Linked DNA regions of Sus scrofa. The protein of the gene in region 1 purifies or fractionates together with the protein of each later gene. This does not show direct contact. Links are inferred from orthologs where the notes say so. Each region holds a gene or a part of one and is shown on either strand. Other genes may lie near its edges.

What was found.
Region 2: the proteins of PTPN3 (region 1) and KCTD3 purify together in Homo sapiens (affinity purification with mass spectrometry; 4 studies listed by BioGRID and IntAct, with this or other methods). This does not show direct contact. The link is inferred for Sus scrofa from reciprocal best matches to the Homo sapiens genes PTPN3 and KCTD3.
Region 3: the proteins of PTPN3 (region 1) and VANGL1 purify together in Homo sapiens (affinity purification with mass spectrometry; 4 studies listed by BioGRID and IntAct, with this or other methods). This does not show direct contact. The link is inferred for Sus scrofa from reciprocal best matches to the Homo sapiens genes PTPN3 and VANGL1.
Region 4: the proteins of PTPN3 (region 1) and YWHAE purify together in Homo sapiens (affinity purification with mass spectrometry; 5 studies listed by BioGRID and IntAct, with this or other methods). This does not show direct contact. The link is inferred for Sus scrofa from reciprocal best matches to the Homo sapiens genes PTPN3 and YWHAE.
Region 5: the proteins of PTPN3 (region 1) and SHKBP1 purify together in Homo sapiens (affinity purification with mass spectrometry; 4 studies listed by BioGRID and IntAct, with this or other methods). This does not show direct contact. The link is inferred for Sus scrofa from reciprocal best matches to the Homo sapiens genes PTPN3 and SHKBP1.
Region 6: the proteins of PTPN3 (region 1) and VANGL2 purify together in Homo sapiens (affinity purification with mass spectrometry; 3 studies listed by BioGRID and IntAct, with this or other methods). This does not show direct contact. The link is inferred for Sus scrofa from reciprocal best matches to the Homo sapiens genes PTPN3 and VANGL2.

Annotation. Positions count from the first base shown.
Region 1 is NC_010443.5:250,446,388-250,449,887, forward strand, and holds part of PTPN3 (tyrosine-protein phosphatase non-receptor type 3), read right to left. Parts: intron 702-3,500; coding exon 541-701; intron 1-540.
Region 2 is NC_010452.4:5,809,680-5,813,179, reverse strand, and holds part of KCTD3 (BTB/POZ domain-containing protein KCTD3), read right to left. Parts: intron 1,114-3,500; coding exon 929-1,113; intron 852-928; coding exon 713-851; intron 1-712. UniProt on the Homo sapiens protein: Accessory subunit of potassium/sodium hyperpolarization-activated cyclic nucleotide-gated channel 3 (HCN3) up-regulating its cell-surface expression and current density without affecting its voltage dependence and kinetics.
Region 3 is NC_010446.5:105,000,354-105,003,853, forward strand, and holds part of VANGL1 (vang-like protein 1), read right to left. Parts: intron 2,619-3,500; coding exon 2,384-2,618; intron 1-2,383.
Region 4 is NC_010454.4:47,642,528-47,646,605, reverse strand, and holds the start of YWHAE (14-3-3 protein epsilon), read left to right. Parts: upstream 1-1,278; 5' UTR 1,279-1,429; coding exon 1,430-1,493; intron 1,494-4,078. UniProt on the Homo sapiens protein: Adapter protein implicated in the regulation of a large spectrum of both general and specialized signaling pathways. Binds to a large number of partners, usually by recognition of a phosphoserine or phosphothreonine motif.
Region 5 is NC_010448.4:48,811,830-48,815,962, reverse strand, and holds the start of SHKBP1 (SH3KBP1-binding protein 1), read right to left. Parts: upstream 2,801-4,133; 5' UTR 2,741-2,800; coding exon 2,655-2,740; intron 2,423-2,654; coding exon 2,369-2,422; intron 2,244-2,368; coding exon 2,198-2,243; intron 2,101-2,197; coding exon 2,027-2,100; intron 1,734-2,026; coding exon 1,675-1,733; intron 1,451-1,674; coding exon 1,370-1,450; intron 1-1,369. Other genes in the region: SPTBN4 (spectrin beta chain, non-erythrocytic 4), read right to left, coding at 4,051-4,133.
Region 6 is NC_010446.5:90,060,202-90,063,701, forward strand, and holds part of VANGL2 (vang-like protein 2), read right to left. Parts: intron 2,805-3,500; 5' UTR 2,615-2,804; coding exon 2,544-2,614; intron 2,446-2,543; coding exon 2,325-2,445; intron 469-2,324; coding exon 1-468. UniProt on the Homo sapiens protein: Involved in the control of early morphogenesis and patterning of both axial midline structures and the development of neural plate. Plays a role in the regulation of planar cell polarity, particularly in the orientation of stereociliary bundles in the cochlea.

The DNA.
Region 1 (3,500 bases):
TTTTGTAAAGTCTCTGGGTGCTGTTGTCAACAGTCTCAATGCTGTGATTGGAGGTCCCTCCTGGGGAAGGGAGACGGGGCCTGACCTTGGTTTCTGCTTGTGTTCTGATTCTCTGGGGCACTTGGGAAGCCGAGCCCCTGTGCCCTCATGGGATGATACGGATACTAAGTGGTCGCAATTGCAAAGTGTGCCTGGTGGGGTCAGGACCCGGCTCCTCCATCAGCCCTTCTGCCTCACCCACGCTGCCTCTCCACTACTTTTGACTGCTGAGTGCTTCGAGCCTTTGCGTTGGCAGCAAAATATGCTCAGAGTCCCGCCTCCTTGATTTCTGACATGCTTCTCCATGACTACTGATCGTTACTAGAACAGGCAGGTGAGACAGAGTTCAGGGGCGGGCCGTGGTCGCCAGCCCCCGCCTTCTCTGAGGCCCCGAGCCCCTCCATGGTCCCTGGATGAGCACGGCCAGCTGGTGAGTTGAATGATCCGGCAGCAGCCGGCAGCCCACAGAGGCACTGGGGGGTCAGCCCTGAGGTCTCTTACCTCAAACTGGATCAGCACCGTCCCGCTTTCGAGGCCCTTCTTTAGCTGTTCCATGGATCCCTCCAGCGTGTCCCCACCCTCCGGACACATGGGGAAAATGGCCTCTGGGAAGAGCTGGTTCAGTTCGTCTTCAGATTTGATATCAGCAAATGAGTGGACCGCTGCAGTGGACGAGAAGGAACGTGTCGGGCCTGTGCAGCCACACGCTGGGGGATCGGTTTCCTCCCCCCAATTACACTTATGACACCTGAATGCAGATGGTTTAAAACATCTTATTAAATGATTAAGCACATGGTAATCATTTTCACCAACGACACTTCTTGTTGAATGATTCAATATGTGCTAATTATACAAAATGACATACTAATCTTTCTGGTTAGTTTTAAATGATGGTGTTTAGTACTCAGAGGCTTTTGCCAAAGGTATGAGAAAGGGAATGACTGTTTTTAAAGAACAGAGATCAGAGTTCCTGTTGTGGTGCAGCAGAAACAAATGTGACTAGTATCCATAAAGATAAGGGTTCAATTTCTGGCCCTGCTCAGTGGGTTAAGGATCCGGTGTTGCTGTGAGCTGTGGTGCAGGTCGCAGACATGGCTCGGATCCCGAGTTGCTGTGGCTATGGCCGGCAGCTGTGGGTCCGATTCAACCCCTAGCCTGAGAACTTCCATATGCCCTATGGGTGCGGCCCTAAAAAGCCAAAAAAAAAAAAAAGAACAGAGATCTTCTCCTGTTACTGTCTCTGAGCTGGTTATTCTTCTACCCCTGTTCTTCCCGAACCGTGTCTTCGGCCTACACCACAGCTCATGGCAATGCCGGATCCTTAACCCACTGAGCGAGGTCATGAACTAAACCCGCAACCTCATGGATCCCAGTTGGACTTGCTTCCGCTGCGCCACGATGGGAATCCCATGGGTCCCTTTTATCTGCTCCTTTAAAACAGGCATTTTCCCAGAAACTGGTGTGGGGTCTGGTGCTCTCTCCACACTGCCACTGTCCCACAGAGCTCAGGTGGTGTCTCTAACTCAGGCCACTGTTAGGAGGGAGGCCGCCCAGATAAACATCTCTAGTCTGTGTTTCCTCTTTGGAACAAATTCTCCCTTCATGCAGACTCAATATGGGTTAAAAAAAAAAAAGGCCAAGGGCCCTTCCTTCCCCACCATGCACAATACGTCCCGGCCTCATATGCTTCTTTCTGTCTATGTCACTTCCTTCTCCACTCTCTTAAAGGGAAGACTTTGAGCTCATCTCTGAATTTTTCCCTTTCTACCCAGAAACAGAAGTCACTCCCTTTCGCAATAGCCTTCAATGGCTCCCTACTGCCTTCAAGATAACAGGAAAGAAGGAGGCAACAACTTTGGGTTTTCCCACAGAGTTGAACTGAATCCTCACAGTACTGAAGCAGGTGTCATTATTCCCATCTTGCAGATGAGGAAACTGATTCAAAGGGCAAGAGTTTTAAGTCCACATCTGGCTGACCCGAAAGACCACATTCTTTTCACTGACCAAAGAAGCTCAGTTCTTCTACTTATTTTTGTGGGTTTTGTCATATGTGCTCCCCCGCCCCGTCCCGTTACTATTTACTTATTTTTCTTTCAATCATTTTTTACTTAAATGTTTATTTTTAAAATGAACTCACTGGAGTTCCCATCCCGTGGCTCAGGAGTAACAAACCCGACTCACATCCATGAGGATGAGGGTTTGATCCCTGGCCTTGCTCAGTGGGTTAAGGATCCAGCGTTTCTGTGAGCTATGGTGTAGGTTACAGACATGGTTTGGATCTGGTGTGGCTGTGGCATAGGCTGGCAGCTTCAGCTCCAATTTGACCTCTAGCCTGGGAACTTCCATATGCTGCAGGTGTGGCCCTAAAAAGACAAAAAAAAAAAAAAAAAAAGAACTTACTTTCATTACAGTTACAGGAAACCTTTTATGCACTTCCCTTTAGGCTCTACTAGTCTACAAGTATCTGTTTTTCTCACCTCAAAGCGTATTATACATTAAAGCCTGATACAAGTTCTGATTCTTCTTCTGTAAGGTCGAATGGGGCTCCATTAGTTTCTGCTACAGACACTGGCCCCTTGCCATGGGCTGGTGGTGGGCCCCCTCCCTGGCTTGGCCAGGGTGCTCCTGGGAAGAACCCCAGATTTGGCCAGCGGGTCACAGGGCACTGCATGTGATAGAGAGGTCTGCTCCCAACTGCTGGATTCCTTCCGTCCCTATTATCATGGGGCCTCACCAGACACATGGCAGCAGGGCAACTTAACCTCTCCGTGACTGCTGTTCCCATTTAGAGATAATAACACTAACCTACGAGAACATTTTAAGAATTGAATGGGATAATTAGTAAAGCAATTGACATGGTGTAGGCCCTCTGCTGGTGCTGCAGAGACATCAGCCACTGTCACGAGTGATACCTACTGTGTGCCCAGCATGGAGCTGGGTTTGGAGGGGATGGGGTGAGACGAGGTGGGAAGGGTTTTGGAGAGATCAGGTGGGGCCCTCACGGAGGAGGTGGGGTGAGAGCTGGCACTGGGAGCATCACCGGGAACAGAGAAGGCAGTGAGGCCACAACAGGGATGCAGGGCCAGGGCTTGAGCCACATACTTCATTTACCTTCAGTATTTGAAGCCGGGCAGGAGGATCCAAGGCTAACTGCTTTATAACAACCACCACCACCACAACAACAGTAATAGTATTCAACAGAGGCTGCCCTTCAAATGCCCACCAAGTACGGGGCAGCGTCCTTGTTGCTTTTCAGTATGAGTATTACTGAATCTTCACAGGAATCCAGAGGCAGCAACTGTGTTATCCTCATTTTACTTTAGTGGAAACGGAGACAGACTGGGCAAGAAACTCCTACTGGGCAAGGTCCCTGGGCCCAGTAGGAGGCAGGGTTAGAACAGCCCCAAGGCAGTCAGCCTCCTGCCCTACTCAGCTTACTGTCTCTCCAACAAAACCAAATG
Region 2 (3,500 bases), on another chromosome or scaffold:
AAAAAAAGCTTGGGGAAAAAATAACCTTTTTATCCAATACAGAACAAAAAGAGTGTCAGTATTTGATCCTTATTTCAGATTTTGGTATTTTTTAAAATACAGTTAACTAAAAAGATACACCATGTCATTGTATTAAAAGTACACAATGGAGTTCCCGTCGTGGCACAGTGGTTAACGAATCCGACTAGGAACCATGAGGTTGTGGGTTCGGTCCCTGCCCTTGCTCAGTGGGTTAACGATCCAGCGTTGCCGTGAGCTGTGGTGTAGGTTGCAGATGCGGCTCGGATCCCAAGTTGCTGTGGCTCTGGCGTAGGCCGGTGGCTACAGCTCCGATTCGACCCCTAGCCTGGGAACCTCCATATGCCTCGGGAGCGGCCCAAAGAAATAGCAAAAAAAGAAAAAAAAAGTACACAATGCCTAACGTTACATTATCTTGTCTAATCATGTTGATTAAATACGTCCCTGAAGCAATGGAAATGAAAGACGCACAGACTAAGGTGACATGATTTTTCTAATTTCCTTTCCATGAATTCTTGATCACAAAATAGGCATTCGAATTGGCAGCAATTCACAAATTAACATAAAGGGCAAAAAATGTTTTTGTATAAAAAGAACCAAATAGGCATAGAGATGAAAATTTGGTAAAAATTTTAAAAACGTGAATGGCAACATAAAGTATGAATTTAAAATGTCCTTCCCCTCTTTAACCCACCTAGAATTTGATTCGCGGAGACGGCTATGCTGAACGACAGAAGTTGCCGGACTGATGTTGGGAGTGGCACAGCGAGATGTGCTCAGGTCGCACTGATCCAGTAACTTGAGCAGCTCTTCCTCCGTCGGACCACCGACATCTGTGGGGAAGGGACAGCATCAGAGTCACTTCGGTCAACACCACCCTGCGGTAAACACCTTGCCCTCTGGAACCTACCCTTGTCCTCGCTTTTGTTAACCATGTCCATCGCGGTGGTCAGATCCCACATCTGAATGCTGCCGTTCGTGTGGCCTGTGAACAAGTAGCGCCTTGGCCTTGAACCCATCCTGCTGGACCCCTCACATTCTCTCACTGTAAATGAGGATATTGTGGTACAGTCAACAGCTTGGATCTCACAGATTCTGCAAAAGATTTTGTACAGTTTGTAAACTATGGGGAACAAATAACACAAGTCAGGTTTTTGAAACTGCTCATTGGCCAAGTTACAGCCGAACATATACAACAGATTTAAAGGCGTCAAAGTCAAGAGCAATGAAACTCAAGCCTTGCTTCTTTGAATCTGAAGAAAAAGCTCTTATTATAACTGAAAAAAGCAAGTAATTTAAATCAAATTAAAACCTTTGATAAGAATTGAGCAATTCTTTAAAAGGGAAGTCCAGAAACTAAAAAGGCAGAAAGCAAGCAAGAAGGCATCACACTAGGAAAGATCTTAAGTCATTTAACCTTTATGTACAAAATTTAAAAACCTAAAACCTCAACAAGGTATAACATTAAAGACATGTCTAAATATATCGAAATGGTAGGTGGCGTAATAGATTCTTCATTTTTTCCAAGCGTCAATTTTCATAAAAGATAAAAGAATCTGACCAAGAACAATTACTGACATTTGACAAATGAGGAAACTTTTTTGTTTCAGTCAATGTGCTGAGGTTACAGAGGGTTAACAAAACTGTACTTGATTGAATCATTTATCCCAACCTTCTTCAAAAATAGTTGAGACAATTAAAAAAAGAAAAAGATTAAGAACAATCAGTTCCAGGGAAATCCAAGATGAGAAAATAAAGGAGGAAGTCCTATCCCTATTAAGCGAGAAACATATGAACAGAATATGAACCTTCACTGAGATAGAATTTTTTTTTTATATCATAAAAGTGTGAACTGTTTTGTTTTGGGCTTTTTTTTTTTATTTTGGTTTTTGTTTTTTTTTGCTTTTTAGGGCTGCATCTGTGGCAAAGGGAAGTTCGCAGGCTGGGGTCAAATGAGAGCTGCAGGTGGCAGCCTACACCGTAGCCACAGCAACGCAGGATCCTAGCTGTATCTGTGACCTACATCACAGCTGATGGCAACACCAGATCCCTAACCCACTAGGCAAGGCCAGGAATCAGCCTGCATCCTCATGAGTACTAGCTGGGTCTGTTACCCCTAAGCCACAGTAACAACTCCTCCGATGGTTTTCTGTGTTTATCAAGATGATCATTTTCTCTCTACTTCTTTAATGCAGTGAATTACATTTATTTTTCAATATTACCTACGAAAAGACATTTTTAAAAATCTCGATTCCTGTTTCTATTTAAACAATCAGCCAGTGCTCCATGATGTGGACCCTACAGACACAGGGGCTGACTGTACCACAGCCTTTTACAGAAGGGCCCTGAGCACCATGGGCCTGCGGTGTCACCTTGGGCGGGGTGGGGGGCAAGCCTGGGTACACAGGGCCGGCCGTCAATAAAAATAAACAAAACAAGCCTAAATGCATGAAAGCAAACATAATATCTGATTCTTAATTTTTCCTATGGAGAGATTACTTAAAATTCTTCTTCCTTTAAAAAAATTTTTTCCAAGTTTCCTTCCTTGCCAATTTTCGGCAAAATTCTTTCACTTCTCACTATTAAGAACCTGAACAGTTTTTCAACAAAAAGCTTAGCTTCAGAGCAGGTTCATAAAGGGCTAATCTCCCATTTAATTTTACAAAATATAATCTGTAAAATTACTTTTCTTTGTTGGGGGCAGGGGTTAAATCGAAAAGCCTGGATTTTAATGAGAGAAAGAAACATTTTCAACAGGTTCCTGGGCTTGTTATTTTTACAACTCTAGCTTTTCTGCTGGAATCAAATTTAAAAATTACAGACTTTATCATGCAAAAATTGTTGATACTTCAAATAGCATCAGTGTGTTGTTGTAACAAGAACATCACTTAGGAACAAAACAGCACTAGGAAGGAAAACAAACGGAACAAGAGTATGAAATACTGTACGGTTAGAGGATATTGTCACAGCCACTAATATTTGGCAGCCTTTTCACCTAATATGCCCACAACACTAAACCACAGTGATGCATTTCTCAAAGTAAAAATCTGGTCTCTAACTAAACTATAGGCTCCTAATACGTTTTCTTAAAAAACTAACAAAAAGATAGTTCAGTACATAGAAATCATCCTCTGGAAGCATTTAATAATTGCTGATGACTATATGCAATGACCTTTGATAGAAAATTTATCATCTCTAAGACTTTACTCCTTAAAATATTAAGAAATGCGAGAGCACATGGTGAAGAAAGGATGTCAGGAAAGTTATTAAAAATATCACTAGCATGAGTAAGAATTTAACTTTTTTTTCACTTTTTGACATGCAAAAAATTTTGTTTTTAATGAGAAATGTTATAGCTCAGTATGTTTGAGGCTATAAATAACAGAGATTAAAACAAGCTATGTCAGGAGTTCCCACTGTAGCACAGTGGAAACAAACCCGAGGTTGCAGATTCGATCCCTAGCCTCGCTCAGTGGGTTAAG
Region 3 (3,500 bases), on another chromosome or scaffold:
TGAAAGAGTGACACCACTTAGCAGGACAATTTGGCAGGATCTGTGCCTTTGATCCAGCTGTTCCTCTACCAGAAATGCATCCTTCTGAAATAATTGCCTACATACACAAAAACACATGTAAAAAAGGGATTTACTGCAACTCTGTTTAGGCCAGGGGTTGGCAAACTTTTCTCTAAACGTAAATATTTTTGGCTTTGCAAGGCACGCACTGTCACAACGACTCAAGTCTGTCCTGGTAGAGAGACAGCAGCTGTCGACAATCTGTAAATAAAGGGTGTGGCTGTGTTCCAGGAAAGCTCGATTAGCAAAAAGAGCCAAGCCCTCATTCAGACTAAAGAACGATCTTACTCCAGAAGTGCATCAGTAGGCAGTCTGTTAAACAAACCCCGGTATTCAGTGGGCTAGGATGCAGCTATTGGAGAGAAAGAGTTAGAGCTGTGTGAAGGCCTGACATGGACAGACAGCCAAGAGCAGCTTTAAGTGAAAAAACCTAGTATCCATACTTTATCTATATAGTTTGAGATCCCATTTCTGTTTTTTGGTTTTTGTTTTTTTCCTATTTCTGTTTTGAAAACACACACCCACCCGGAAAGAATATACACCCAGTCTTTATATCAGTAAGAACTGTCTGGATTAGGGGAATCAAAACTTCACTTTGTACCTTATACTTTTCTTTCTTGCTTTTTTTTTTTTTTTTTTTTTTTGGCTTTTTTTGCTTTTGAGGGCCACACCCGTGGCATATGGAAGTTCCCAGGCTAGGGGTCAAATTGGAGCTACAGCTGCAGGCCTACATCACAGCCACAGCAATGCGGGATCCGAGCCACATCTGCAACCTACACCACAGCTCACTGCAACGTCGGATCCTTAACCCACTGAGCAAGGCCAGGGATCAAACCTGCATCCTCATGGATACTAGTCAGGTTCGTTAACTGCTGAGCCACGAAGGGAACTCCCATTATACTTTTCTTTAATGTTAACATTTTCATGCAAATATTATTTTTTATTCAGAAAAGTATACTCTTTTTCAGTGAAAAAGAAAGCCCTCAGGAAACCTTTTTAAAAACCTTGAAAAAAAGGAAAATAACCACTTCCATTCTGTGTGGCACGAGCTATCACTCTGTACACCCAGACTTACTGGGCTCACTTGCAACCACAGCGTTCACACTTATTTGTATTCTGCATTTTGTAACTTATTATTATAGCAACAAAGAGTCTTCTGTGTTTTAATAAGTGATGTACCAGAATTTATAAGCTACTGTTCTATTTTTAAGTTATTTCCAGTTTTGAGTGAATACAGACTATTTTGCAAAAACTCACCTGCATGTATATTCATATATATGAGCTGACTGTGCTGAATACTTTTTCCAGGAGAGGGGCTAGTAAGTCAAGGAGTGTGAAAACCCATGTTGTTTTCCTAAGTGTCATTACTGGTTAGCGACAATGTCATCAGCAGTTGTGTACATTCAGGGCAGTGTCTGAACACAGGTCCTTATACCAACAGTAACACTACCAAGTGCACATGTGTACGAAATGTCAAGGTCATTTACGCTCTACCATGTGACTGACCTGTCATGCTGCCATTTTTACTATAATTCCCACACAACAATCCTATCAAGTAGATACTATCATTATCCTCATTTTATAAAAGAGGAAACAAGTGTAAACTTAAGGCTAAGTCACAAAGCAATTCGGTGGTGGAGCCTGGAGGTGAACCCACTTCTATCTGAAGAGCGGTCATTTGCTGAACCCTTACTCTGTGCTGCCTCCTTGGCCACATCCGTCTAGTAGATGCATTGCTGTTTGCCACATCCCCCGCGGTGTGCTCACGTCATAATCCAAAAGACCATTTAGTAAAACTAAACCCACAACAGCCCCAAAACGCCCAAGTGATGGCCTTGTTTCTACCGCTGATAATCAAAGCTATTTCTTTGGTCCTTCCACTAGGACAGATGCAGTTTTAAGCCCTGCACAAGAACGGGCTTAAAACTGTGTGCCTCTTAGTTATCACAACAACCCAATGAAGTAGATACTAGTATTATCCCCAATTTACAGGTTAGGAAACCGAGGCACAGAGCCATTAAGCTCCTGGCCCAAGGTTTCCCACTGGCAGAAAGGAACAGAAAGCCAGGTTAGAATGAGTCAACCAGAAACGAGAAACCAGCGTACCCCGAGCTGCCACCTGGACCATCTCTAAGTGAAAGTCTTTCCTCTGCTTGAATCCAGAGGCCTCCAAAGGCAACTTAAAAAAGCAACTGTGCCAAAACCGCACAAAATAAGTGAGAATCCCTCATTCTTATTCATTGGCGCTTGAGAGAAGCCTCTGATGTTCGCACTCCTGACCACCCCTGAAGTGGGACTCCCCGAGCTCGGTGACCAGCCGCACCTTGGGGGTCATGCTGTTGGTGATGCAGAAGGCCAGGTGCTGCAGGATGCTCTCCATGCTGTGGTAGTGCTGCTGCCGGGTGGTGCGCAGGTACTTCTGCAGAGCCCGGGCCATGGAGGGGAAGATGGCCTGCGCGGCCTCCCTGGGGTCCATCACCTCCCCTGGGGCTTTCTGCTGCTCCTCGGCCTGGAGACGCTGGATGTGGATGAAGGCCTCCTCCACCGCGACCACCAGCCTGGAGGGGCCGAAACAAGGGCATCGGGACCGTGGGGCGGGGCTCGAGGACAGAGGCAGACAGAACCGGGATGACGTCTGCCCGCCTGCTGTGCCCCAGTCCGCCACCAGCGCACCCACGGCTCCCCGTCCTCAGCTGCCACTCCAGATGGCGGGGGTTGTGGGGGGGGGCTGGCAGGAACGGAGAGGAGGGCAAAGGCAAATGCACTGCAGGGGATGGGGGCTTCAGGGGAGGAAGAAGGAGCCCTAGAACGAGGAGGGGACCGCTCTCAATTCTGCCACTAATTTGGGAGACTCACTTCGTCCTTTTCATCTGTACAATGAAGGGTTAGAGGAAAAGAGTTTTAGGGTCCCTCAAACTCTGGCTGCATAAGGCTCTGCGTGCACTGAGGGGTGGCCGCTGGTGCGGAAGCAGCCTGACAAAGACCTGGAGCTGTATCTCCCCCAGCCGGCCGCCCACACCAGCAGCCCTTGGGAAGGAGGAAGGCAGGGGCCCAGCACACAGGATGAAAACCGTCTTTGTCCACTTTGGCTAATGTGCTCAGATCCTGGAAACCAGCAAGAGCCTGGGGATATAGGACGGGCTCGCTCAGAGTGTGGGCCCAGGGCCAGCAGCTTCATCATCAGTGGGGAATTTCTAAGAAATGCAAATTCTTGGGTGGGCCCCACTCTAGACCCACTGAAAAATAAGTAACCTCTGTGGGTGGGGCCGGAACCTGACCTGAAATCTGTGTTTTAACAAGCCCTCCGGGTGATGCTTTTGCAGGCTAACCTTTGGGAACCACTGGAGCAAGATTCCCTCTGAAGGCCCAAGCAGTTGGGCTCATCAAGTGAAATTTCATTTGATGGTTTAGAAAGAAGTCTTGGAGGGGATGCTGGTGTG
Region 4 (4,078 bases), on another chromosome or scaffold:
TCCAATCGGAGCTGTAGCTGCCGGCCTATGCCAGAGCCACAGCAACTCGGGATCCGAGCCGCGTCTGCGACCTACACCACAGATCACTCCAATGCCGGATCCTTAACCCACTGGGCAAGGTCAGGGATGGAACCCGAAACCTCATGGTTCCTAGTCGGATTCCTTAACCACTGAGCCACGACGGGAACTCCTACTTGGGCAGCCTTTGAGAACCTTATAACCAACTGTGATAAAAGGAACTCGTCTTTCTCCGCATTCCATCTGAAAATTTTCCTAGCATTCTTATTTTTTTTGTTAATGGTACCATTTAGTCTCTTAGTGACTAGGTAGGGAAGATAGAAGGTCAATTTAATCCCCCCCCCCCACATCTGATTAACTACAAACTCTTCGTAGTTTCTCTCTTAGCACTATCTCCATTTGTCCTTTCCTATTTTCATTGTGGTCATATTACCTTTTGCCTGTATTATTGTAATAGCCTGATCATTTATTCTGCTCTTTAATCACTGCTATACAATAATCTTTTTAGAGAATAACGATGGTGTCATCCACCATGAAAAATCATCAAAAAATAATTTCCTTGTGGCCACTGAATAAGGCGCAAACTTCCCAGCATGCCATCCAAGCTTCTTCATAACTTGGTTCCAACCTTTTAATACACATTTACCGCAGACACTACCAAACAGCTTATATTCTAATTACCTGAACTTCAGTCTTGCAACACATACTGTACGAATACAAGATGTTAGGAATCCACTGGGAAGCCAAACATCAGGTCGTTTCCCTTTCCTGCCTCCTGATCGCAATGTGATCTTGCTCCTACTCTCCTGCACCTTAGGTGCTCCAGACCAGGATCCCCTAACAACTTCCCTGTACCGATCCATGGTGGGCCCAAGGGGAAAAAGAAGGCTTAAGGAGAAGTAAAGAAAGATTGCGAAGTAAGAAGCTGAAGTGTGAAGTCCTCGTTCCGCATTTGGCTACAGAAGAGCCCAACTCTTTACCCTGGGGTTAAAAGGGTCTGAGTAAGATCCAGGACTGCCTTTACCATTACCAAAATCGTTACTGCCGCTAGTTTCTCTGCCCGTAGTCCAGCTCTTTCGTTCACTCTCTCGCCTGGCTTCCCTCACTTCCTTGGGGAGCTTTCCCACTATGCAGTCGCAGTTCCCGCTTCCAACCGCCCCTAAGCCCACGGAGGAGGGGCGTCTAGTAGGTTCCAGCCTCTTCGGGCGCTGAGCTCCCAGACCCGCCCCCCCGCGCCAGTTGCCAGGGAGCGGTTGCCATAGAGCTGAGCAGTTGTCCGCGTGCGCAGGCGGAAGTCCCGGATTGAGGCGCCGCCATTTTTGCTGCCCGGTCGCGGAGCGAGAGGCTGAGAGAGTCGGAGACGCTATCCGCTTCCATCCGTCGCGCAGACCCTGCCGGAGCCGCTGCCGCAATGGATGATCGGGAGGATCTGGTGTACCAGGCGAAGCTGGCCGAGCAGGCTGAGCGATATGACGGTGAGTTGGGGGGGGAACGGGGGGCTGGAATTCTAGGACCCTCTGCCGCCGCCCACAGAGACCAGGACCAGGAGACAAAATGGCGGCATCGTCTCCTAGCCTGGCCCGGGGAGGTGGATTTGGGAAGCAGGCAATGGCCTGTAGGCTTTCAGAGCCGCAGGAGGCTCCAGACTCAGGATTTTGACTCCTTCGGCGTTCTCAGCTGCAGACACTCGGGAGCCAGGAGGCCGGGGCGTTAGGGTGGAGGAGTTGGTTGTAAAATGGCGGCTGGGGGGGAGGGCGAGTCCCGGGGCGGGGGAGGGGGAGGAGATGGCGGGTGCTGTCTCCCAGCGAGCAATCCCCAGGGGAGCCTCGGGGCAGTTCTTGGGACGTGGTGAACAATTGGGTGGCGTGACGAGGGAAGAAACACCCGCCACATGGGGGAGAGTGGCGACCGGGAGCGCGGGCGCCTTTCAGGGAAATATGGCGGGTGGGGGCGGTGGCTTTTCCCCAGAGGCCCAATGTGGGGCGGCGGCTGTGTAGTCTCACAAAGGAGAACCCTTGCGAGCGGAGGGCTCCTTTGGGTTTGGGGTGGGGGGCAGTCTCGGATGAGGGTGGGGAGAGCGAGGGGAGAGTGGGAATCACTGCAGTTCATCCTTGGGCGGAGGCCAGCCGAGATGCTACGTTCGGATTTCCTTCCCGTAGACCAGCACACCTTGTAGTGGGGTTTTTTAGGCTTTCCGTTCAACCTCGCCTTGTTCTGGGGAGGTCTAGAAAAATCTCTCTCACGCTCCCTTTCCTCAAACTTAACCTGCAGAGTTCGAAGTTCCTGGTAATCATTTTCTGGCTTCATAAGCTGTGGGTTCTGGTGGATAGATAGAACATTGAACAGGAAACAAGGAGATGATGAATTTTAGTTCCTCTCCTATTCCCGTGCCTCAATCTATCAGTATTTAAAAATGACGACTTTCCTGTTTACACGCGGCATTACGACAAATGGAAAGACCTGTTGGAAAATCAAGTTTTTTCAAATAACGTTTAGTAACTGTATTTTAGTTGCCTTCCTTGGCTTGGAATGCGTGATCGTACTTAACCTATCCCAAAGCACTCAGCAGAGATTTGGGTTTTTGAATTAAGACCGTAAGGAATCCCAGTAGATCTTATTTTCTTTTCTCCGTTTTAAGTAAATGGTTTCATGCACAGATTTGAGCAGTTCTTTGTTCCTTGCTCCTTTTCCCCTAAAGGCTCTGTAGTCATTTTTCAGAACTTCTTCGAAATGGCCACTGTGTCTTTTTAGTCGGTTCTAGGCTGCTTTTTTTATTGCCCCTCTCGTTGTGGGTCTCCTGCCCCCGCCCATTTTGGATCTAGGTATGTGAATTACTCCCACATCTTTTAAACTGGCATTATCATAACAAAAAATCCTATGTATGTTTTTTGTGGTTTTTATACTTTTGTGGCGTAAGACGGGGTTGGAATCAAGTGTCAATGAATAGATTTTTCTTCATGAAGCCACTTTTTTCCCCAAAATGTCGTGTGGAGACCTTGCTTTCCTTGAATGCCTGTTTGGTCATGTGAATAGTCTCAGGGCTGGTCCTGGCGTATCTTCATTAGGAGTCAGGAATTTGAAAATTACTAGAAAAGACCTCGAACTCAAATTTAGGAAGGTTACTACTTCTATTTTGTAAATCCTTCAATTGCTATTTGTATTGAACAAGATTCCTGTGGAAAGGGGGAGGGGAAAAGATGGGGAAGTACAGCTCAAGGTCAGTTTTGTCTTTATTTCACTGTTGAAAAGCGAACTAATGTAGGTGTGCTTGGAATGGAAGTTTTTCTCTTCTCCCCCCCTCCTGTCCCAAATAGGTTCCTCTCTTAATACACCAATGCCCTTAGGGAGGAAACTTGAAATTATATCGGAATGCTTTCTGTTCTTTAGGGATTTATAGGCTCTGGCTGTGATCACCAAAGAGGACGTGGAGGGAGCTTTTTTTTTTTTTTTTAAGAACTTGTTTTAAAAAGTGGTTTGGAAGTTCATGATTGTAGCTTTCACGTAAGTGACAGTTTAGTGATAATAATGTATTGGTTTTGAGTGTTTGAGGATTTTTGACCAAAGGCCTTATTATTTAGCACAGGATCCGTATTCTTAAGGTTGTTTAAACGTTAGGAGTGTCCTTCAGAATCTAAAGGGAGGTAGGGAATATAGGATCTACCAGTTTGGAGAGAATGTCCGTGACTGTTGGGTACAAGACAGAGAGGGATTCATTGGAAAGGGAGAAGAGGAAGACACTCCTTAGGAATCAGCCTCTACCTGTGACCACTCCTTTATTGGATATAATAATTCAGTTTTGTTTCTGGTGACAAAAAGTGATTTTATAGTTGTAGTTAGCAAATAATTTATCAGGCATGGGGAAAGTGAAGAGTGCATTTGAATGACTTGGCTTGGTGTAGTTGGATATAAATGTTGGCTTTTCTTCTTGTTCCTGTAGTACCTTTGTCTTTTATTTTGCATGTTATGTTGAATCTATTAAACTTTTTTAGTAGCATCATTGAACTCTGACCTGGGGAATTGGAATCAATTGATATGGATTATTTAATGGTACTGGAGGATG
Region 5 (4,133 bases), on another chromosome or scaffold:
CCAGAATTTTTTTTTTTTTTTTTTGGTCTTTTTGCTATTTCTTGGGCCACTCCCGTGGCATATGGAGGTTCCCAGGCTAGGGGTTGAATCGGAGCTGTAGCCACCGGCCTACGCCAGAGCCACAGCAACGCAGGATCCAAGCCGCGTCTGCAACCTACACCACAGCTCACGGCAACGTCGGATCGTTAACCCACTGAGCAAGGGCAGGGATCGAACCTGCAACCTCATGGTTCCTAGTCGGATTCGTTAACCACTGCGCCATGACGGGAACTCCCAGAATTTAATCTCACTGCTATGTTTGGGGTTTATTTCATGTCTACTTATTTGTAGTGTAAAGATAGTGATAGAAAATTTCTATGTAAATAATTAAAACAAAACAAAACAAAACAAAAACAGAGTCAGGAGTTCCCTTGTGGTCTAGTGGTTTCACTGCTGCAGCTTGGGTTCAATCCCCGGTCTGGGAACTGAGATCCCACATCAAGCTGCTGCACCTCAGGGTGAAAAAAACCCAAACAAACAAAAAAACCAGGGTCAAACTAAGTTAAGAGGACGATAGGTCTTCATATGTGGCAAACTTCATGAAGGTAGTAGGTACTGACCAAGTTAGGGAAATAACAGTTAGGCAGATAATTTTCCCTGCTTTGTTCCTTCTACAAATCAGCAAAGCCTAGTGGACTACACTTCCCAATAACCAGTGGGGCATATTTTCCATGGCCAGTGGACTGGCTGCTCCAAGGTCTCACGGAGATTATAGTCAATAACTCTCCTTAAATATTTCACTCCTTCATACAAAGGACACCAGTGTTCCCTAAGCCTCTCTACAAGGAAATCACACCTGGACTATAACTCCCATCAGGCTCTAGGGCCTGCTTCGGCACCTCCAGGGGGTAGCTTGGCCCAGTGTCTCACTGGAAATGCTGTTTCCTACTTCCTTTCCCAGCATCAGGCCAAGCATCTGATTTAGAACTACAAATCCCAGGAGTTCCTATCGTGGCGCAGTGGTTAACGAATCCGACTAGGAACCATGAGGTTGTGGGTTCGGTCCCTGCCCTTACTCAGTGGGTTAAGGATCTGGCGTTGCCGTGAGCTGTGGTGTAGGTTGCAGACGCGGCTCGGATCCTGCATTGCTGTGGCTCTGGCGTAGGCCAGTGGCTACAGCTCCGATTCGACCCCTAGCCTGGGAACCTCCATATGCCGTGGGAGCAGCCCAAAGAAATAGAAAAAAGACAAAAAAAAAAAAAAAAAAAAAAGAACTACAACTCCCAGAGTGTTTCAGGGTTCACAGCTCAGGTGCCCACAGGCTGCAGCCTTGTGGGAGATGTAGTCTTTAGAGCCCTAGCCACTCTCTCCATTCCTTAGTAGTTCCCACCTGGTGCAGGCAGGTAACCATTGAAGAGGACGTTTCCACAAGAAGATCGATCCAACTCTTCCAGAAGCTGCAGACGACGAACTGGGACAAAAGGACCTAAAGGCTGGGACTTGGGGAACACTGAGACAGATCCCTTTTCCCCTCCTCCATTTCTTTCTCCACAGAATACCACCACTCTTCTGAGACCCAGGATTAAATCCAGTGCTCTCATCTCTAACCCAACCTTCTTTCAAGAGGGGAAAGAGGGAGCACCACCAGAGAGCTGGTTTTCTATTAGAAGAGGATGCTAAGGGGGCCCCACTTACCCAGAGGAGTGAGCCCATAGAACTGGGCTTCGTGGAGGAGGCTGGAACCATGGACACCCCTGGGTAATAGAAGCGACTAGGGGTCAGGCTCTGGGGAGTGGGAGTGGGCAAAGAATTCTGAGGATGGAGTTTTAAAAACTGTACAGAGAACCCTAAGAGGTAGCAAATTTTGATGGGATCAAGATTCTAAGGAGAGATGATTTGGGCAGTGAAAATGTGTGTGTTTGAGGGGAATTCTAAGGTCATATAATTTAAATATGATCAAGGTGCTTAAGTGAACATTCTGAGGAGAAGATGAGACTTCTCAGGGGGTAAAGACGGTGCGGGATTCCCCGCTATCTTCCATGCCAACCTGGGGTCCAGCTCTTTGGTGCGCAGGAAATTGAGGATGGGGGCGAAGACGGTGGGGTCCCTGTCGATGAAGATCTGCGGGGAAGAAGACAGATGGGGCAAAGAGCAAGGCTAAGTGGGGATCCTGTCCCTCCTCCTACCGGCCGCCCCTTTCAATTCTTGCTCTACTCACGGCGCCAGTCTCATCTTTCAGTGTAGAGATACGTCCGCTCAGAAGACTGCAAGGGGGTGGGGGGATGATAAGCGGGTGTCATGGGCCGCGGTGTGTGTATCATGGGGGGAGATTAGGTCTCCCCGTACCCTGTCCTCCCACCCCCCACCCCAAACTCGCTCTCCCAATCACCTGGAGAAGAAGGAGTCTGGGATCCAGGTGAGAGTCTGGCGAGAGGTGCTGAATCTGTGCGGGGACCGTGAGAGGACGCGAGATGATGGAGAGAGGATGGCGAATGAGGCCCTAATCCCAGGACCGGGTGAGTTCCCTTCGCTCCTCCAGCACCCATCAGGCTCCCGCGCCTCCAGCAGAGGGCGGAGCAATCCTTGATGGACAGGGATTCCCCTCGGGAGAGACGGGTACTCCCACCTCGCTCCACACCGCCGAGAGTAGGGTCTCGAGAATCTCCTACACTCACCTCTTGCCTCCCACGTTCAGATGAATCACCTCGCCGGGAGGCCCCCGACTAGGGACCCCGTCGGCTGCAAGGGCCGCGGCTTCCATGGCCCTCGGGCGAGCCGGCCGGCCAGCACCCGCTTCCGGGTGTGCACCCCACCCCCGCCTCCACCGCGTGCTCATTGGGCCGGAGACTCCTGGAGCCACCCGCGATTGGGCAATGCGCTCACTTGTCGCAGTTAATGTTCTCCTCCTCCTTAAAGGGGCCCGCTTTTCCTGTGCTGGACGGGGCGGACCGAGAGGCTCCTTTGGGGAAGTTTAGTTACCGTGAATAGCAAAACGTACCTCCACCCCTCTGGGGTTCCCAACTTAGGAATGGCATCTAGCTGCTTCTTCGGGGGCACGTGTTTAGACCTCGAAATTAGTCCATACCAAGAGGGACATCTAAATGTTCTCCGCAACACAGTTTCCTGGCCTCGCCCCACCCAATCCTCCCAGGCGCCGCCCAAGAAACTTGAACAAACCGTCATAGACCGTCAAAGCCAAAGAATTTATTATAGGTACATCGAGTGTGCGCCTGCCGCCCCACCCCTTACCCCTGAGCCCCAGCGGCCCTGGGGGCTGCCTACCATCTGGTTCCCCCACTCCTCCGGGAGGTGCTCCAGCCAGAAGCATGCAGGGGGAGGGCTTCCCCTCGCCCCTCCCCTCACAAAGTGACATTTACAGATAGAGGGGGGAGGAGAGAGGAAGACAGTTTTGAGCTTTGACGCCCCTCCCATTAAAAGCCTTCGCGGATGCGGGGCGGGAGAGGAGGAGGTCGACGTTTTGCAAAAATAAACTAAGTCAGGAATTAATCGCATGGCTCTGAGACGGCGGAGGGCAGGGGCTAGGGCCCCTTCTCTCCCCCTCCCCAGACAGAGATCAAGGCAGCATTGGAAGTGAGGTAAAGGCGGGGAGGGGGCGTCCCCTCCCCACCCCTAGCACCCTGGATGGTCCAGGGGACCTCACCAGCGCCCCCATGCCCATCCCTAGGGCGGAGAGGGGCGCGGAAATTATCGCCCCCACCAACCCAGCTTCTTGGGGCAGGATATGGGCATCGGGGCAGGGGGCTTGGCTCAACCGGCCCCTTACCCGCCCCACCCCCCAAGCTCAGTTATTGCATAAAAATAAAGGAGCCCCAGCACCTGGGGTGGGGGTGGCGAGCGGGAAGGGGCCGAAATATGGCTAATAGGGGCAGCAATCCCCCCACCACTTCTTGGGGTGCAGGAGAAGACCCCTCCTTTCCAGTGCCCATCATGGCGCATCCTCAGTGTTGGTTGGGACTAGGGGCTCCTGCCCCATCGGAAGAGAAAGTGTCTTTGTGCCCACAGTGCCAGGAGGAGGGGCGGGGAGGTGTGTCAGGCCCTGGGGGTGGGAAGTCACTTCCGGCGCCCACTGGCTCTGCGCTCCCCTGCCTCCCGCTTGGGGTTGCCCTCGTCTGTGGACGACGTGGTGGGCGCTG
Region 6 (3,500 bases), on another chromosome or scaffold:
CACGGCAAACTGCACCACGCCTTGGTAGCTGCGCTCGCGAGCGTCCAAGATGCGCACGCCGTAGAAGAGCCAGTAGGAGACGACAAGCAGGAAGACAAGCACCATGAGCAGCGCACGTAGCACAAAGACGCGAGGCAGGGAGGCCTTGGGCCGGCGGAAGAACAGGGCCCAGCTGCCCAGCAGCAAGATGAGCAGCTTGAAAGCCACGGAGATGAAGAGGCCCTCACAGGCTGTCCCGCATGGCTCCAGCTCCTCCCGCCACAGCAGCGGGGGCAGCAGCAGGAAAGCCAGCGGTGTGAGGAAAGAGAGCAGGGCCAGCGTGGCCCCCGCTGCCACACCCAGGTGCCGGGAGCAGTCCAGCGGGACGCTGTCCTCCATGTCCTTGGCGATGCGTGTGAGGTCATCGTGGGAGATGCTGTGCTCCGAGGTGCCCGTGACGACCGTGGTCGTCTCCCCCCAGTTGTCATCCTGCAGCAGGAAGGGCCACAGACACGGGGGAGGGGGAGAAGAGGAGGCAGAGGGGGAGGAGACACAAGAGAAAAGGTGAGGGGAGAGAAGACAGCACAGCAGGGAGACGAGAAAAGAAGGTAATCAGTGAACCTGCAGCCATCAAGGTATTTACTGAGTACCACTGCCCAAACCTGACCTCTTCAGGGAGGGACGGGACATCTGAGACCTGGGCCCTCAGGGAGCTTCTCGCCATCAACGAGATAGGAAAAAACTGCACGTGCGCCCTCAGAGCAGAGGGTACAAGAGAGGTGCCAGGGAGCTGCTCAGCCAAAGCAGGCTCAAGCAAGCCGCCTGCAAGGCCAGACTAAGCAGTAGGTACCTATCCTCCAGACGTTGAGAGCCTCTCAAAGTTTCTGGTTAAGACAGTGACCTGACAAAGGCAGCATGGTGAGGAGAGGATCCCAGGAGGAAGGGACAGGGAAGGTAAGGGACCAGTGCAGGGCACGCAGACTCAGGGTCACTCTGGGTCTCCAGTCTGCATCTGCCTGGCCGGCTTTGCTGGGCCATCTGAATGCCCACAACACTGGGGCTGCCTGGTCCTGGAGGCAAGTGTGTGGACAGGCTGAGGTCCCCAGGGGCCCTTCCGAGTGTGATCCACTCAAGCTGCTTCCCTGAAGTGGCTGGACGCCATCCTACAGATGAGCGCCAAGACCACCAGTGGCCATCAGTGTCCACACCCAGGGGATGGGGAATCACATCCTGACACCCAGGGGATTCGGCTGCAGGACTGAGACATGGGATGGGGGTGTAGGAGACTGCCTGGCAGGGTCAGCAACTGGGGGTGGAGAATCTTCCCCCAGGACAGAGGAATCTGACCTAAAGATGCAAAGTAGAGGCTCTGCCTGCTCTCAGCTCAGGGAACCCTCATGTGACCTGTAGCCACTCTGCCTACCCTCTCAAGCATAAGGGGCCTGGGCACTCGTCCTCACTAAGAGATGAGCTGATCATGTCTCAGGGTCACTTCAAGAACCCAGGAGGCCAGGTCTCCAAGAGAAGACGGGATTGGGAAGGAGGGAGAAAGAACATTTCCCTCAGGCACCAATCTGCTCCCAAAACCCAGAAATCCCCAGTGTCAGTCACAGGGATGCTGTGTGAAGTTTCCAGCTCCTAGTGTGCGCCCAAGAAGAAAGAATAGGAGGGGAATGAGGTTCCGGCAACCTCAGAGTCATCCCAAATCCTGCCTCTGCCCTCCTCCTACTCAGGTTCAGACTCCTGGCCTTCCTACCAGGTGTACACAGTGGGCCAGAGAGACTAGAGTTGGAGCAACCTGGTCACCCCTGCCCGGGAGAACTCTCTTCTGGGGACCCTCTGCGTCTCCCCAGGCTAACGCCTCCCTGCCCCTTCTCCCACACCTCCTCTAAGACAAGGAGGTGCTATTCTTCAGGCCAACACCAGAGAGCGCTAGAGTGCCCATGCCCTCAGGCCGAGGGAAAACTCAGGGCTGCCACACCCCCAGGCCCCACCCACCCACCACGGCCCTCCCACTCCAGATTCCCAGCACCCTAACTGGCCCGCAGGGGCCCAGGGGAACCAGGCAATTCCCATGGCTCAGCGCGGGTCACCCCACCTCTCTGGAGATAAAGATGGAAGAGGCTGCTGCTTCCAAAAGAATCTCTGCTGAAACTCCCTGAATTTTACTGAAATGGGGTCCTTCCTTGGGATGCTTAGAAGTAGGACACAAGACGCCTCCCTGACCTGACCTATGTCGGAAGAGGCCAGGTTTCCCCGCCCTTCCCCTTTCTGATGGAGCTCCAGCTTCTCTAAGGATCAGTCTGGAAACTACCTGGCCCAGACCCCATGCCCCTGATGCTCACCCGCTCATCCCCTCGCGTGGACTCGTTGTCCAGCAGGGGCTCCCCTGGGGCCTGGATCGTCACTGACTTGTCCCCGCGGCTCCCATCTCGGCTCTTGGAGCGGTGTCGGTCCCGGCGGTCCCTGCAGCAGGAGGCCAGGGAAACAGGGGCTCAAGGTCAAGGGGAGGACCCACTCCCACCCCTCCCAGCCACTTGCGTTGGCCTTCCGCGTACACCCACCTGTGCTTGCGGGAGCTGCGCGAGTGGCCCGACTTATAGGAATAGCCCGAGTACTGGGACTCGGTGTCCATGGCGTCGGAACGCCGAGCTTTGTAGCGCTCCAGGGCCACAGGCTGGGGCCTTTTGGGGGGCCCCACTGCCACCTCCTTCAGCACCGACTTCTTCAGGCCAAGGGGCACCTTCAGGAAATCAACTGTCACCCTGAGGGACTCTATTTTGCTGGACGGGTGGGCTTATCTCAGAGAAAATCAGGCGGCACTCCTAGGGAGAGGAAGCAGCTGGTCAGAGTTGGGCTGGAGCTCCCCTGGGAGGGGGGTTGGGGCAGAGAGGAGGGCCATTCCAAAAGGCAGCCACAGGAAGCTCAGGGGAGCCTCACTACTGAGAAGATTCCACCCGAGTTCCCATTCTGTCCAGTGGGCCCAGTTCCTCCTGCCCTGCCCCCTAGAAAGAGCACCTCCAGACTTTGCCAAGGACTAGGGAGAAGGGGTGGCCTGCAAAGGCCAGCCAGAATGACTCAACCCTGGACCCCCTGCAGGAGAGAAGCAGGCAATGCTTTCCTATTCTCAGCCAGGAAAACGATGACTTGGAGAAAGCAGGTTCTGGCCAGGCCAACAGTCTGGACCAGGGGAGATTTTAGCAGGAAGCAGCTGGTTTCGGCCCAGAGGCTACCCCAGGCCTCTCCTCCCCTCCCTTCATCTTCCCCCGACTCAAAACTTCTGAGTGGGCCCACAGGGGGCTGCCTATGGCTGCTTCTCTTGGCATCACGTCCCTAGCACCTACATCAGACAGACCTATGGTTCCTGCCAGGTCAAGCTAGCGGCTCTGCTTGAGGCTGTGTGCATGTCTGGGTGAAAGCAGGTGAGGCGGGGGGTGAAGGATGGAAACTGCAGATAATGTGGTGGGAGGCAGGAAGAGAAGGTGAGTAGAGAAACCACTCTCCGAAAACCAAACATCCTG